Linked DNA regions of Macaca fascicularis. The protein of the gene in region 1 interacts with the protein of each later gene in a pairwise test. Links are inferred from orthologs where the notes say so. Each region holds a gene or a part of one and is shown on either strand. Other genes may lie near its edges.

Region 1 (4,897 bases):
TACCCCTAAATAAAAGCCCTTCCTACCTAACTGTGGGGCATGCTGTGGGGTAGAAGGAAGTCAGATGTGTGAAGGTCACATAAGTGAATAGAAACCCTGTCTATAAAAAATTAGGGAAAAGGAGAGCTCTCATTCTATTTTGTAGAATGGATGCTGCCCCATTCATGATTAAGGAAATGTATTAATTTAAAAGAAAAGCAGAAAATGTGAAATTTACATATTGTAAGCTTGTAAGATCAAGGAGGAATTTCAGATACGATAAAATAGAGCCACCTCATTTTGCAGATGAGGCCCAATGACATCCAGATCATAAGTAGCCTAGGATCTTTCGCTCCAGGGGAATTCCGATGAGCTTTCTTAAGGTAGATCTCAACAGAGGGTACTACTGCTTCCTTGCTCCTTACATTTGTTTCTGCCTTTCAGAGCTCAAAGGCAAATTTTCATCAAAAATTTGTTGATGCCATTGGGTTTAAAGCTTTACTGTTTCTATGGGGATGACTTTGTAGCAGCATTACCATGCCTCCAAGTGGGAGCTATATCTTAAAGGGCTTGAAAATCCATTCAGGACAGCTGCTAAAGATAGTTTTTGACTCCCTCACAGAAGATTTTTCCTCAGCTATGGTATGGGGAATGGGTGAGCAGATGGGAGAAGTAGGAAGAAGAGGAGAGGATGCTTCTTGGGGGCTTGGAGGGGTGTTCAGCATAGTTCCACAATCAAACCAGCAGGAGAGCAGAACTGTGAGGCAACTCTGGGGAAGAGTTGAGGCTCTAGGGGAAGTCTCCTGTAGAGCACAAGTAGGAAACATCCGGCCTATAGCAGCATTAAGAAGGGCTAATGTGTCTCAGGAGGGAAGGATGCCATCGCCACAGAACCTCTAAATATGGGCACAGTAGGATCCCAGAAAAGCAGTGATTCGGGGAGGATGTGTTCTGCCCAAAACATAATATGTCTGTTAAGGTTATTTTGTAGCACATGGAGCACTGATCTGACCTCAAGCTTTTGTTTTTTAACAGGTGGAAAGGCAAGTTTAATCTATAATTTTAATCGCCACCAATACACTATCTTGGAGCTTTTCATGACACATGTCTCATAAAGAAATGCTGACATTTGCCAAGAGGTTCCTGAGTTTTGGTCATATTACAGCACTTGCAGGAAGTGCCACTGCATTCACATATAATGATAATAACAATATTCACACATACTAAGCACTTATTTATGCTAGGTACTTTACTACATGTATTAAGCACTTATTTATGCTAGGTACTTTACTACATGTATTAAGCACTTATTTATGCTAGGTATTTTTCCAAGGGTTTTACACATATTAACTCATTTTGATTTTCACAACAACTTAATGAGGTAGCTAGTATACACATCTCCATTTTACAGATGAGGAAACTGAAGCATAGAGAGACAAAATAAACCAGTCAAGGTCACATAGCTAACCAAGTGGTGGAGCTGGGATTTGTCTAAAAGTCTGGTTTCAGAACCCTTGTGCTTAATCCTATACTATACTGTTGGGTGTATCAACTGTATGCTGAACAGTTGCCTCTCTGGAGCCAGGACTTCCAGACTTTCAGTCTGCACATATGGAGCCATACCACTGACAAGTATGTCCAAAACTTCTTTGATCCTAAGAATTACCTGGAGACTTGCAAAATATATAGATTCCCACACCCTGGCTCAGATGTACTCACAATCAGGCAAGTTTTTAAAACCCAGGTTTAGTGGAGTGAGCACCACCAGCCCTGAGCATTAGGAAATTTAAGTTTTTGTCCTGATTTTGCCTCTGTCTCTCAGACTCTGGGCAATTTCACTCTTCAGTTCCCTGCTTGCTCTACTGTCTGCCTGTCACTTAACGGAATGTTACAAGAATACATACAATTTTTTCCCCCTCATAAGGGACACCTGTTGCTTCAAAAACACGGTATCCTCATAAAATGATACGCGCGTAGTAACAGGTGTATTTTCTTGCACTGTTTTTTTTTTTTTTTTTTTGTTTTTTTTTTTTTTTGCTTTGCTTTCCTTGAAGCACAAACCTAAGCCCCTCATCCAGACCTAGCCTTCAGCTCTCCTCCAGGTGACACACATACATACCCCAAACCAGGCTGCATTCTGACCGACATTAGCTCTCTCCCTCTGGGAGCTCTGATCGGCTCTCAGTTCAGCCCAACAATGAGAAACTTTTTTCTCATCTCCCTCAGGGGAGCCTTCACGTTTATCCAATTCATTCTCTTGCAACCCAACTCTCCAGAAAGAAAAGGGGGGAAAATCCCACCCCTAAGAGACGGTCTTCAGGTCTGAGGACGTTACTTAGCAACGGCACAAAGACCAGTGAGCCAAGGGAGACCTGAGGAGAAAACTCTTGGGTGGGGAGACAGAGCCAGTTTGAAAACTCCATTTCATCCAGAGAAAAACAAGGAAAACACAAACAGAATCAATCCCAAGTAACAAGCGGGGCTTCTCCCCAGCGCAGGTCATCTCTTTACTCCCTGCATCTCAACTCCTTTAAACCCCCAGTGACCAAGTCCGCCCCCGCCTGGTTTCGCCCATGGCCCGAGTGCCCTCCCCTTGCCCTGGCCTGACCCACACAGGCTTGGACTTAGGGGCCCCCCACCCCTCCCCAGGCACCCACCGTTCTCAGACGCGCTGGGACCTTCGCAGTCCGAGATTAACTGTTGGGGTTTCCGCTGCTTTCGCCGAGACATTCCCGGGTAGAGAGTTGGGAGAGGGAGGGGCAACGCTCACTTAGTCTTAACCGGGGTGACCTGGTCTCCTCTCCCCCTTGGGTCCGAAGCCAATTGATGCCTCTCCCCCAGCGCAAATCACTGTGAAGCAGAGATGTTCTCCTTTCCCAGAGACAGACAGACTCTCTCTCTCTCTCTGATTCTCTGTTCTTGACTCTCTCTCTCTTTCTCTCTCAATCTTTGCAAGTCTTTAAAGGGGAGACGCCCCCTTTTTTTCTTCAGCTTCTTCCCTACGCTTCTGCAGCTCCCATTGTAAAAGCAAAAATCCTAATCTTTCCGCACACTCTTTTCTTTTGTACTGCAGAGGAAAGGATTTAACCCTCTCCTCCCTGCAAGAGCTCTGGGTCTCTCCCTGTGCTGTCTGTTCAGAAACTGTCCCTGGCTTGTTTCTCTAACTCTTCTTCCAAGATCTTCACTGTGCTTTTTGGTTCTGTCATATTTCTATGCCCCTCTGATAATGTAGCTGCTTCTGGGGTATAAACTGAAATAAGAACCTTCTGATGTGTCCTGATTATGAGTAATATATGTATAGCTCTTTATAATTTATAGAATATTTTCATTTGTAATGTATTTTGAATATTATAACTCCAAGATGAACACAGTAGGCTTTCCTACTCCAACTTATAGTTGAGCCCCTTTATAGATGAATCAAAAGGCCCAGTGAGGTTAAGTAACCTCTCCAAAGTTGCACAGCTATGATGTATCAGACACAGGCCTGGAATCCAGGTGCATCTGACAGTAGCCTAACATTGTTTCCTCTATATCAGTAAAGACACAATATGCCACCAAACTGCTATCATGAAAAAAAAAAAAAAAAGTGATTGATCTCAAGGAATCTCATTTAAAATAGCCATGGCTGGGCATGGTGGCTCACACCTGTAATCTCAGCACTTTGGGAGGCCAAGGTGGGCGAATCATGAGGTTAAGAGATGGAGACCACCCTGGCCAACATGGTGAAACCCCATCTCTACTAAAAACACAAAAATTAGGCTGGGCGCGGTGGCTCACGCTTGTAATCCCAGCACTTTGAGAGGCCAAGGTGGGCAGATCACCTAAGGTCAGGAGTTTGAGACCAGCCTGACCAACATGTCAAAACTCTGTCTCTACTAAAAATACGAAAATTAGCTGGGCATAGTGGTGGGTGCCTGTAATCCCAACTACTCCAGAGGCTGAGGCAGGAGAATCCCTTGAACCTGGGAGGCAGAGGTGGCAGTGAACTGAGATCGCGCCATTGCACTCCAGCCTGGAGCGAGACTCCGTCTCAAAAAAAAGAATCCCTCCATCTCCACAATACATTGTTTGGCAACAACCAAGTATCTCCTGCTCAGCCTGCACACTGAGGGTGATTCATTTATTTTTCTTTAACTTCTGACTGTGATGTTCCTACCTGTAGTTGAGTGCTACTGAGCTACTGTGCATAGAATATTCTGGATATGCCCTATCTTCTGGCAATAATGCCTGGGCCCCTTTATTTTAGCGTGATTTCTGTTTTACTCTTCTGGCTGAGATAGCATCTGAAACGCTATCAGTTGGAAAAGTGGGAAGTATTTTCCCCTTTTAGGGTTAGTAATGTAAATCTCTGATGGCTTTATCTGCAGAGAAAAGCAAAATAAAGCTCACTCACAGGTTTGGCTGCAAATTTGAAGGTTTATGCATTTCTTCCCTTACACGATTCCAGGCTAGTTTGGTAATACTAAGAAAGGAAAAGGGAGACAGCAGGTGGCAGGGGGTGCTGCTAGTAATAATTGAGGCAGGTATCCACATTACATCTGAAGAGTTTTGGAAAATGCTCTCATCTTTGCTTTGGAGTTCACTGAATCTCCATTATTTATCCAGTCCTTTGGTGTCAGGGCCCCGGGTGGTTTTCTCAAGTCTACCCTTGGAACTCTTGTGGCTGACATTATCTAATTCATCCTGTTAACTTCCCTGTGGTAGACAGGTGTCATTATTTATCACTAGACCATTGTAGGAGAAATGGGGGTACTGAGCCTAGGAAAACTTCTAATTCCTCCATGGAATAGACTGAGTCCTGTCATCCTCTCACCCCACTGTTTCCATCATTTATTTCCTTCCAGGAAAGGAAAGGAGAGAAGGAACATAGCTTTCTGCTTCTCTCAGGAGTCTGAAATCTCCAAGGGAGCAGATTTCA
Region 2 (2,953 bases), on another chromosome or scaffold:
CTTTGTCAGGAAACAAGGAAGCCCACCTGTGTGGTCCCAAATGTTGCAGGAACAATGCTCACACCAGACACCTTCCTCCTTCTCCCTGCAGCTTCTGGGCTCCCACAGACAGATGCCCTCCTCTAGTGCCTCAAGGGGCAGGCCTTGGCTGCCAGCCTGAGGATGCCCAGAGCTCCCCTCCTCCCCTAGGTTCCCATGTTCCCCCAGTTCTTGCCTCTCCTGCTGGCTGGCTGGGAAGGCCCTCAAGGATGGGGCCCAGGACAGGAGGAAAGGGTGACCCAGACCCCCACCAAGCTGGACAGGCAGATGGTAGGCAGGACACACCTCTGCAATCTCTGGTAAGTGACAAGCAGAGGCCTCCCAGGGACAAGAGCTGAGAAGGAGCCCCTGGCTGGGCTGGGACTGCCAAACAGCTGGCTCAGTGCCCCAGGGCAAGCCCAGATAAGGTGACATAGTGGCAAATGTCTCTCCTGGGCAAGCCTGGAACGCTTCACAAAATAGCTCTTCAGCTGAAGCCAACTTGGAAAATTCCAGGGAAAAGGAAATTTACTATGGGGCGGGAATAGCTGAGCCTTAGCTTGGAACATCCAGAGCTCAACCTGGGGTCCCAAAAGCCACTAGAAGGTCGACCCAGCCCCCAGAGCCTGCACAGGCTTTGCAGGCACAGAGGCCCAAGCTTTAGGCAGGTCGCTGGCTTACAGGGGAGAAAATAGTCCCTGGGAGCATGAAGGAGGGACTCGGCCAGGCCCACCAAGAGGGAGTCCTTTAATAGAGATCGGCACAGACAGGAGACACAACAGCCCGGGCGCCCTGCTCGCACAGGCTGGGGCCCTGAGCCAACAGATGCAGTGGCTTCCTCCTCCCCACCTGGGTGTGGAACCATGGGGTGGAGACGGAGAGGTGGCTTTAAAAAACACAGCTGTACTAATTCTTCACTTTCACAGAAACGGGGAACTTGGGAGCGCAGCCCGCTAGAGAATCTTTATACAGAGCTGAATCTGAGAGCCCACCCACCCCCCTTGGCCGGGCCAAAGCTCATTGTCCCCCACCCACTGGAGGTTCCTCCCTGATCTGTCTGCACATGGGAAGGAGCAGAGTGCACAGGGAGACCGGGCTGTACAACAGGAACATGCTGGCTGGACAGCTGGCTCCCCTTTCCCAGCTGTTAGTGTTTCTACACTATGTACATTGTTGTGCTTTGTAGCTCCCCCACCCCGAGGATTCTGCCTGAAGCTGGGGTGGGGAGAGGAACCCGACACGACACACGGCTGGGCTGCCAGAGCTCCAGGCCCCCAAGAGGCTGCCATTCAGCGAGGTTCCAAGAGCTGGACTGCCAGGCACAGGGACCACTGGAGCCAAAGGCGCAGGGGACAGAGCCAGCCCCGCCAGATGCCCAGCTCTGCCCAGTGGAGGAGTTGTTGAAACAGAAGGATCAATGCTGGACAAGAAGCAGGCTGGGCGGGGGCAGGCAGGGGTGGAAGGACAAGGTGTGAGGCTGTGAGACCAGGGGTGTGAGGTGTGCGTGGACAAGGCTGGAGAGGGCTGGGCAGGGGCACCTCAGCAAAAACCGTTCTGCAGCAGCAGGCTTGGTAGAGGGAGGTGGCGAGGGCTGCCGGGCTGGGAGCCCCTCCAATCGAGCACAGGGCTGGCGGCAGAAGGCTCTGGCTCCAGGTGTGTTTTGGGGGAGGTTTGGGAGAGACCACCGGGTGTCTCAGGGGGCTGGGCATGAAGGGCAGGGCTGTGGTGACATCTGTGAGCGTGTCCCCGCCGGGCCTGGGGTAAACACAGGATCAGTTGTTCTCAAACAGAGAGAGCAGGTCGTCATTGTTGTTTGTGGGGAGGTCGGGCGGTCCCAAGTAGGACAGTAGCTCATCAGGGTTGGTCAGTTCTGGGAGCAGCTGAGGACAAAGTGAACTATGTTAGCAGCTTTGGTCACTGGCCACACCTGAGTGACCATCCTGTCACCACATCCCATCCAGGTGCAGTGGGGATGCTGAGCAGCCCCTCCCCACACACAGGCTGGGTGCGGGGCCCCACTATAGGCCTGCATGTGCTCAAGGAGGCACACGCCACCCCCGGGACCTCCCTGCAAGGCTGCTGAGGCCAGAACAGCTCGCAACATGCTGTTCAATACCACCAGGAAATGGGATGTGAGGGAGCACAGCCACTCCACACATTCTCTGTGCACCGGCCTGCGTGGGGATCCCCACCGTGATTCCCCAAGGTGAATGCTGGTGGTGGAATTCCATGCCCCTAGGATTTTCTGCTTGGAGCTGTTCTTCCTAACTTTTTTCATGTTGAACTTCAATGAGTTTCTATTATGGTCCAGGGACAGTCAGTCCTGTCTTCCATGTACTGAGTGTGCACTCCCATTCTACCTGTGAGTCAAGGCCCAGGGCTACTGAGCAAATGGACAGATGAAATCTGACTCAAAGGACCGTGCTGTCAGCTTCCAGCACAGTCTCCTCTGAGGACTCTGCGTCGCCCGTATGGCATCCAGGCCCCTCATGAACACAAATGTGGTACATCGCATCCCACCCACAGCTACTCCAGGTATCTGACTCGTGAACAAAAGCTGCATTTAGTTGATCTCATCTGACCGGCTCTCTGAGGGGTCACTGTCTTCCCTTCCACAACACACTCGGAACCCAGGGACAACAGACACACCACCTCTAGCCCTGGCTCCCACGCACTCCCTGGCATGGGGCCTGGTACTCACGTCCAGAGCTGGTTCCGGGGCCTCCCCAGCTCCAGACATGCTGGGGGGCCCCATCACGCCTGTGGCAGGACTGAAGGCCAGTTCACCCGTGGGCCCTAAGCTCGCTTGGCCCAAGGACTGCCGGGACGCTGAGGGAGGGTTTGAATGGTGCAGCTGGGGACCCGGAGGGGCCCCAAGGTTGGAGGTGTGTAGTCCTGGTGTCCCAGGATTGTGAGTGGGGTCCAGGTGACCTGC
Region 3 (4,118 bases), on another chromosome or scaffold:
CGCCAGACCTGTTTCTTGCTGCTGCTTCCTGTATTTGACTAGTTATGAAATTAAAGAACAACAATATAAAGCAATCTAATTATAAAAACAATATTGCTTTTATAGATGAAATATACGTAAATATATATAGATGATATACAGATATATCCTGCCTTTAGAATGTAAAACTTTTTCTAGAGTGTTTTTTGAAATTTTGCTTTCAATTGACTTGGTTAACGATTTTTTATTTTTTAGCTTGTGGGGATATATTTAGATAATATTAGAATATTGCTATAATAAAATGATGTATCTTACATTCTAAGATGCTACTATTGATGATTGACTTAGGCAAATGCTTCCACTTCTTATGTACTCATCTTTTCTTGCCTGTTAGTGGACTTGTAAGAATAGGAGTAACATTCCTACACCTCAGTCCTAACCAAAGATCTGTAGATTCACCGTGGCCATCATACTTAATAATTCATTATTCTTTTTATCCTTTGTTAGCTGGTTTTGCTATAATATAATAGTAATTCATTGATTCCTTTTGAACTTTTTAGTGCAAAAAACCTTAAAATAAGTTACAGAAATTGAACTTTAAGGCCACTAGGTTTTAAGAAAATGTTGTAAATCACTTGAGCATTGAGGATATCCTTTTAATATTTAATTTGTGATTTCAGGACTTAGTATTCTTATACAACAGTAGATTATTAGTAATGCTAAGTTCATGTAAAAGAAAATCAGAGTTCTCTATATCCCCCCAAAATTAGAATAATAATCCTCTGTTTTAAAAATCAGTGCCCTCTAGGCCAGGCAGAGTACCTCATGCCTGTAATCCCAGCACTTTGGGAGGTTGAAGCGGGCGGATCACTTGAGGTCAGGAGTTTGAGACCAGCCTGGTCAGCATCGTGAAACCCTCTCTCTACAAAAATACAAAAATTAGCCAGGTGTGGTGGTGCACACCTGTAATCCCAGCTACTCAGGAGACTGAGGCACAAGAATCGCTTGAACCTGGAGGGGTGCAGGTTGGAGTGAGCTGAGATCACGCTACTGCACTCCAGCCTGGACAACAGTGAGACTGTCTCAAAAAAAAAAAAAAACAAAAAAAAACTGATGCCTTCTACTTTTGAGAACTATAGGTATGAGAGGAATCTATAGCCAATTTGCTCTGCAACATAAAAATTTATGATCTTTCTCACTATAATCAAATGTAAATAAGTGAGATTTTTTTTTTCCCTTGCTGAAGTATGGGACTATATTGGAAAAAGATGTTTTGGTTATGGAGAAAGACATTAGTGGTCCTGATAATTCAGACAGATGGTGTTTCTGTTGGCTGGGTTAGATCTTATGTCCTGAGGAGCCCTACCAGAGAGGGTAGGTCATCTCCAAATGTTGAAGAGTAAGTGGCCCTTTTACAGTGCCGTGTCAGTAACCAGGAAGGTAAAGAGATTGTGGGCTTTGGTAATACTAACTGTAAAATCACAGTGGTAGACAGTCATCAGAGACCTATATATGCATACAAGTTATTCAGCACCAACACCAAGATACATCCTGTATTTAGAACGTAAAACTTTTTCTAGAGTGTTTTTTGAAATTTTGCTTTCTGTTGACTTGGTTAACAAATTATTGTTTCCTGTGGATCTCTAAATTTGAGGCACTAACGGAAACAAACTAGAACCAAGCTATGATCATTTCTATTATATGAGCCAATCAGAAGAGTTACTTGTTCTGTCTGGCTATATATTGTTAAATTCTATATGGTAATGTGAAAGAATGCTTCAGCTTAGAGCACCTCTCCCTCCCCTACGTACCTGCCCACACGTTTCTCAGCGGAGTTCTTATTGCCACAGCCTTTGGAGTAAAACCGCTCAGAGCTAGATAGCTGTAGCTCCCCAGTTTTCATCTATAAAATGAAAATAAGAGAGATGAGGATTAAGGGAAATTATATACACAGCACTTTGCAGCCTAATACCGGATACAAGGTAAGCACTCAATCAATGGTATGCTGAATTATTTTATCCTACATTAATGTATTTGAAAAAAACATATTATAACTGGGGATGATTAATATGTCATTACAGATGTTTTTCCCCTTTTCCCTAGGATGAAAATGGGATAAATAGACCAGTCTGTTCCTACGTTAAACCACTTCGAGCTGGACGGCTTCTTGATACTCCAAGGCAAGCAGCAAGATTTGTTAATGTCCTTGGTTATGAACGAGCCCCTGTTATTGGAGGAGGAGGTAAACAGGAGCAGTGGTGCACTCTGCTGGCCTTTCTCTGTAGAAGCAAGGTATTATACACACATAATAGAATTAAGTAGCAGTATATCATAGTTGCTCTGAATTTGTAATCCATTTGTAAAATAATGCCTTAGGAAAATGTACATATAGTCAACCCTCTGTACCCACAGGTTCTGTATCTGTAGATTCAACCAACTGCAGAGCAAAAATATTTATAAAAGTGAAAAATAACACAATAATAAATAATAGTACAAATATAAAACAATGGAGTATAACAACTGTTTATGTAGCATTTACATTGTATTGAGATTTTTAAGTAATTTAGAGGTGATTTAAAGTACATAGGAGGATGTGCTTAGGTTATATGTAAAATACCATTTTGACTGGGTGCAGTGGCTCATGCCTGTATCCCAGCATTTTGGGAGGCTGAGGCGGGTGGATCACCTGAGGTCAGGAGTTCAAGACCAGTCTGGGCAACATGGTGAAACCCTATCTCTACTAAAATACAAAAAATTATCTGGGTGTGGTGTCACGTGCCTGTAATCCCAGCTACTCAGGAGGCTGAGGCAGGAGAATCGCCTAGACCTGGGAGGTGGAGGTTGCAGTGAGCCAAGATTGCGCCATTGCACTCCAGCCTGAGGACACAGCAAGACTCCATCTCAAAAAAAAAAAAAAAAACTGTATACCATTTTATATAAGCCTTGAGTATCCATGGATTTTCTTTTGCAAGGGTCCTGGAACTAACTAACCCCTTTGGGTACCGTGAGACAGCTGTGCTATCAACTTGACCACGTCAGAACCTTGTTCTGTTTTTCATAACATTTAAATATCAATACACAAAAAACTCAGCATCTTTATTTTCTCATGTGGTTTCTTATTTAACTTATTGTGATTTCTGTGATGTAGGGACCTACAAGTACTAAAGTGTCAGAAATCAACTTACAGAATGAATTAGAGACAGCACCAGGACCAGACCATGGCTTTCTGGTACTATTGATGTGTTGAAATTTGCTCAGATAATACATCTTTAAAAAAGAGAAAATGGGGCCAGGTGCGGTGGCTCATGCCTGTAATCCCAGCACTTTGGGAGGCCTAGGTGGGCGGATCACCTGAGGTGATCGAGATCAGCTTGACCAATGTGGAGAAATCTTGTCGCCACTAAAAATACAAAATTAGCTGGGCGTGGTGGCACATGCCTGTAATCCTAGCTACTCAGGAGGCTGAGGCAGGAGAATTGCTTGAAACTGGCAGGCAGAGTTTGCTGTGAACTGAGATTGCGCCATTGCATTCCAGCCGGGCAATAAGAGCGAAACTATCTCAAAAAAAAAACAAAAACAAAAAGATAAAATGGCAGTACAAAATGAATATAGAAAAGAAATCTTGAATGGCATGCTATTTTGTTTAGTTTTACATACAAATGTATATTTAATTACACTTTTTGAATGACTTGATTTCAGTAAACTAATTTTATAGATTATGGGATATTTCCTAATCTGTATTCTAAAAATGTTGATAGTATGATAACAAACAAGTAAAACTATCTTTACGCTGGGTGTGGTGGCTCACGCCTGTAATCCCAGCACTTTGGGAGGCTGAGGCGGGCGGATCATGAGGTCAGGTGATCAAGACCATCCTGACTAATACAGTGAAACCCTGTCTCTACTAAAAATACAAAAAATTAGCCGGGCGTGGGAGCATGCACCTGTAATCCCAGCTACTCGGGAGGCTGAGGCAGGAGAATTGCTTGAACCTGGGAGGTGGAGGTTGCAGTGAGCCGAGATCACGCCACTGCACTCCAAACGGGGCGACAGAGCAAGTTAAAATATGTATATACACATATATGTGTGTGTGTATGTATATGTATATAACAACAGCATTAACAGTAATGGTGAAACTT

What was found.
Region 2: the proteins of SALL2 (region 1) and ZMIZ2 interact in binary tests that used the Homo sapiens proteins (3 or more experiments, as listed by UniProt). The two-hybrid records come from large-scale screens. The link is inferred for Macaca fascicularis from reciprocal best matches to the Homo sapiens genes SALL2 and ZMIZ2.
Region 3: the proteins of SALL2 (region 1) and CEP76 interact in binary tests that used the Homo sapiens proteins (3 or more experiments, as listed by UniProt). The two-hybrid records come from large-scale screens. The link is inferred for Macaca fascicularis from reciprocal best matches to the Homo sapiens genes SALL2 and CEP76.

Annotation. Positions count from the first base shown.
Region 1 is NC_088381.1:89,210,344-89,215,240, forward strand, and holds the start of SALL2 (sal-like protein 2), read right to left. Parts: upstream 3,018-4,897; 5' UTR 2,710-3,017; coding exon 2,637-2,709; intron 1-2,636. UniProt on the Homo sapiens protein: Probable transcription factor that plays a role in eye development before, during, and after optic fissure closure.
Region 2 is NC_088377.1:85,574,097-85,577,049, forward strand, and holds the end of ZMIZ2 (zinc finger MIZ domain-containing protein 2), read right to left. Parts: coding exon 2,720-2,953; intron 1,899-2,719; coding exon 1,791-1,898; 3' UTR 746-1,790; downstream 1-745. UniProt on the Homo sapiens protein: Increases ligand-dependent transcriptional activity of AR and other nuclear hormone receptors.
Region 3 is NC_088392.1:80,746,312-80,750,429, reverse strand, and holds part of CEP76 (centrosomal protein of 76 kDa), read left to right. Parts: intron 1-2,082; coding exon 2,083-2,271; intron 2,272-4,118. UniProt on the Homo sapiens protein: Centrosomal protein involved in regulation of centriole duplication. Required to limit centriole duplication to once per cell cycle by preventing centriole reduplication.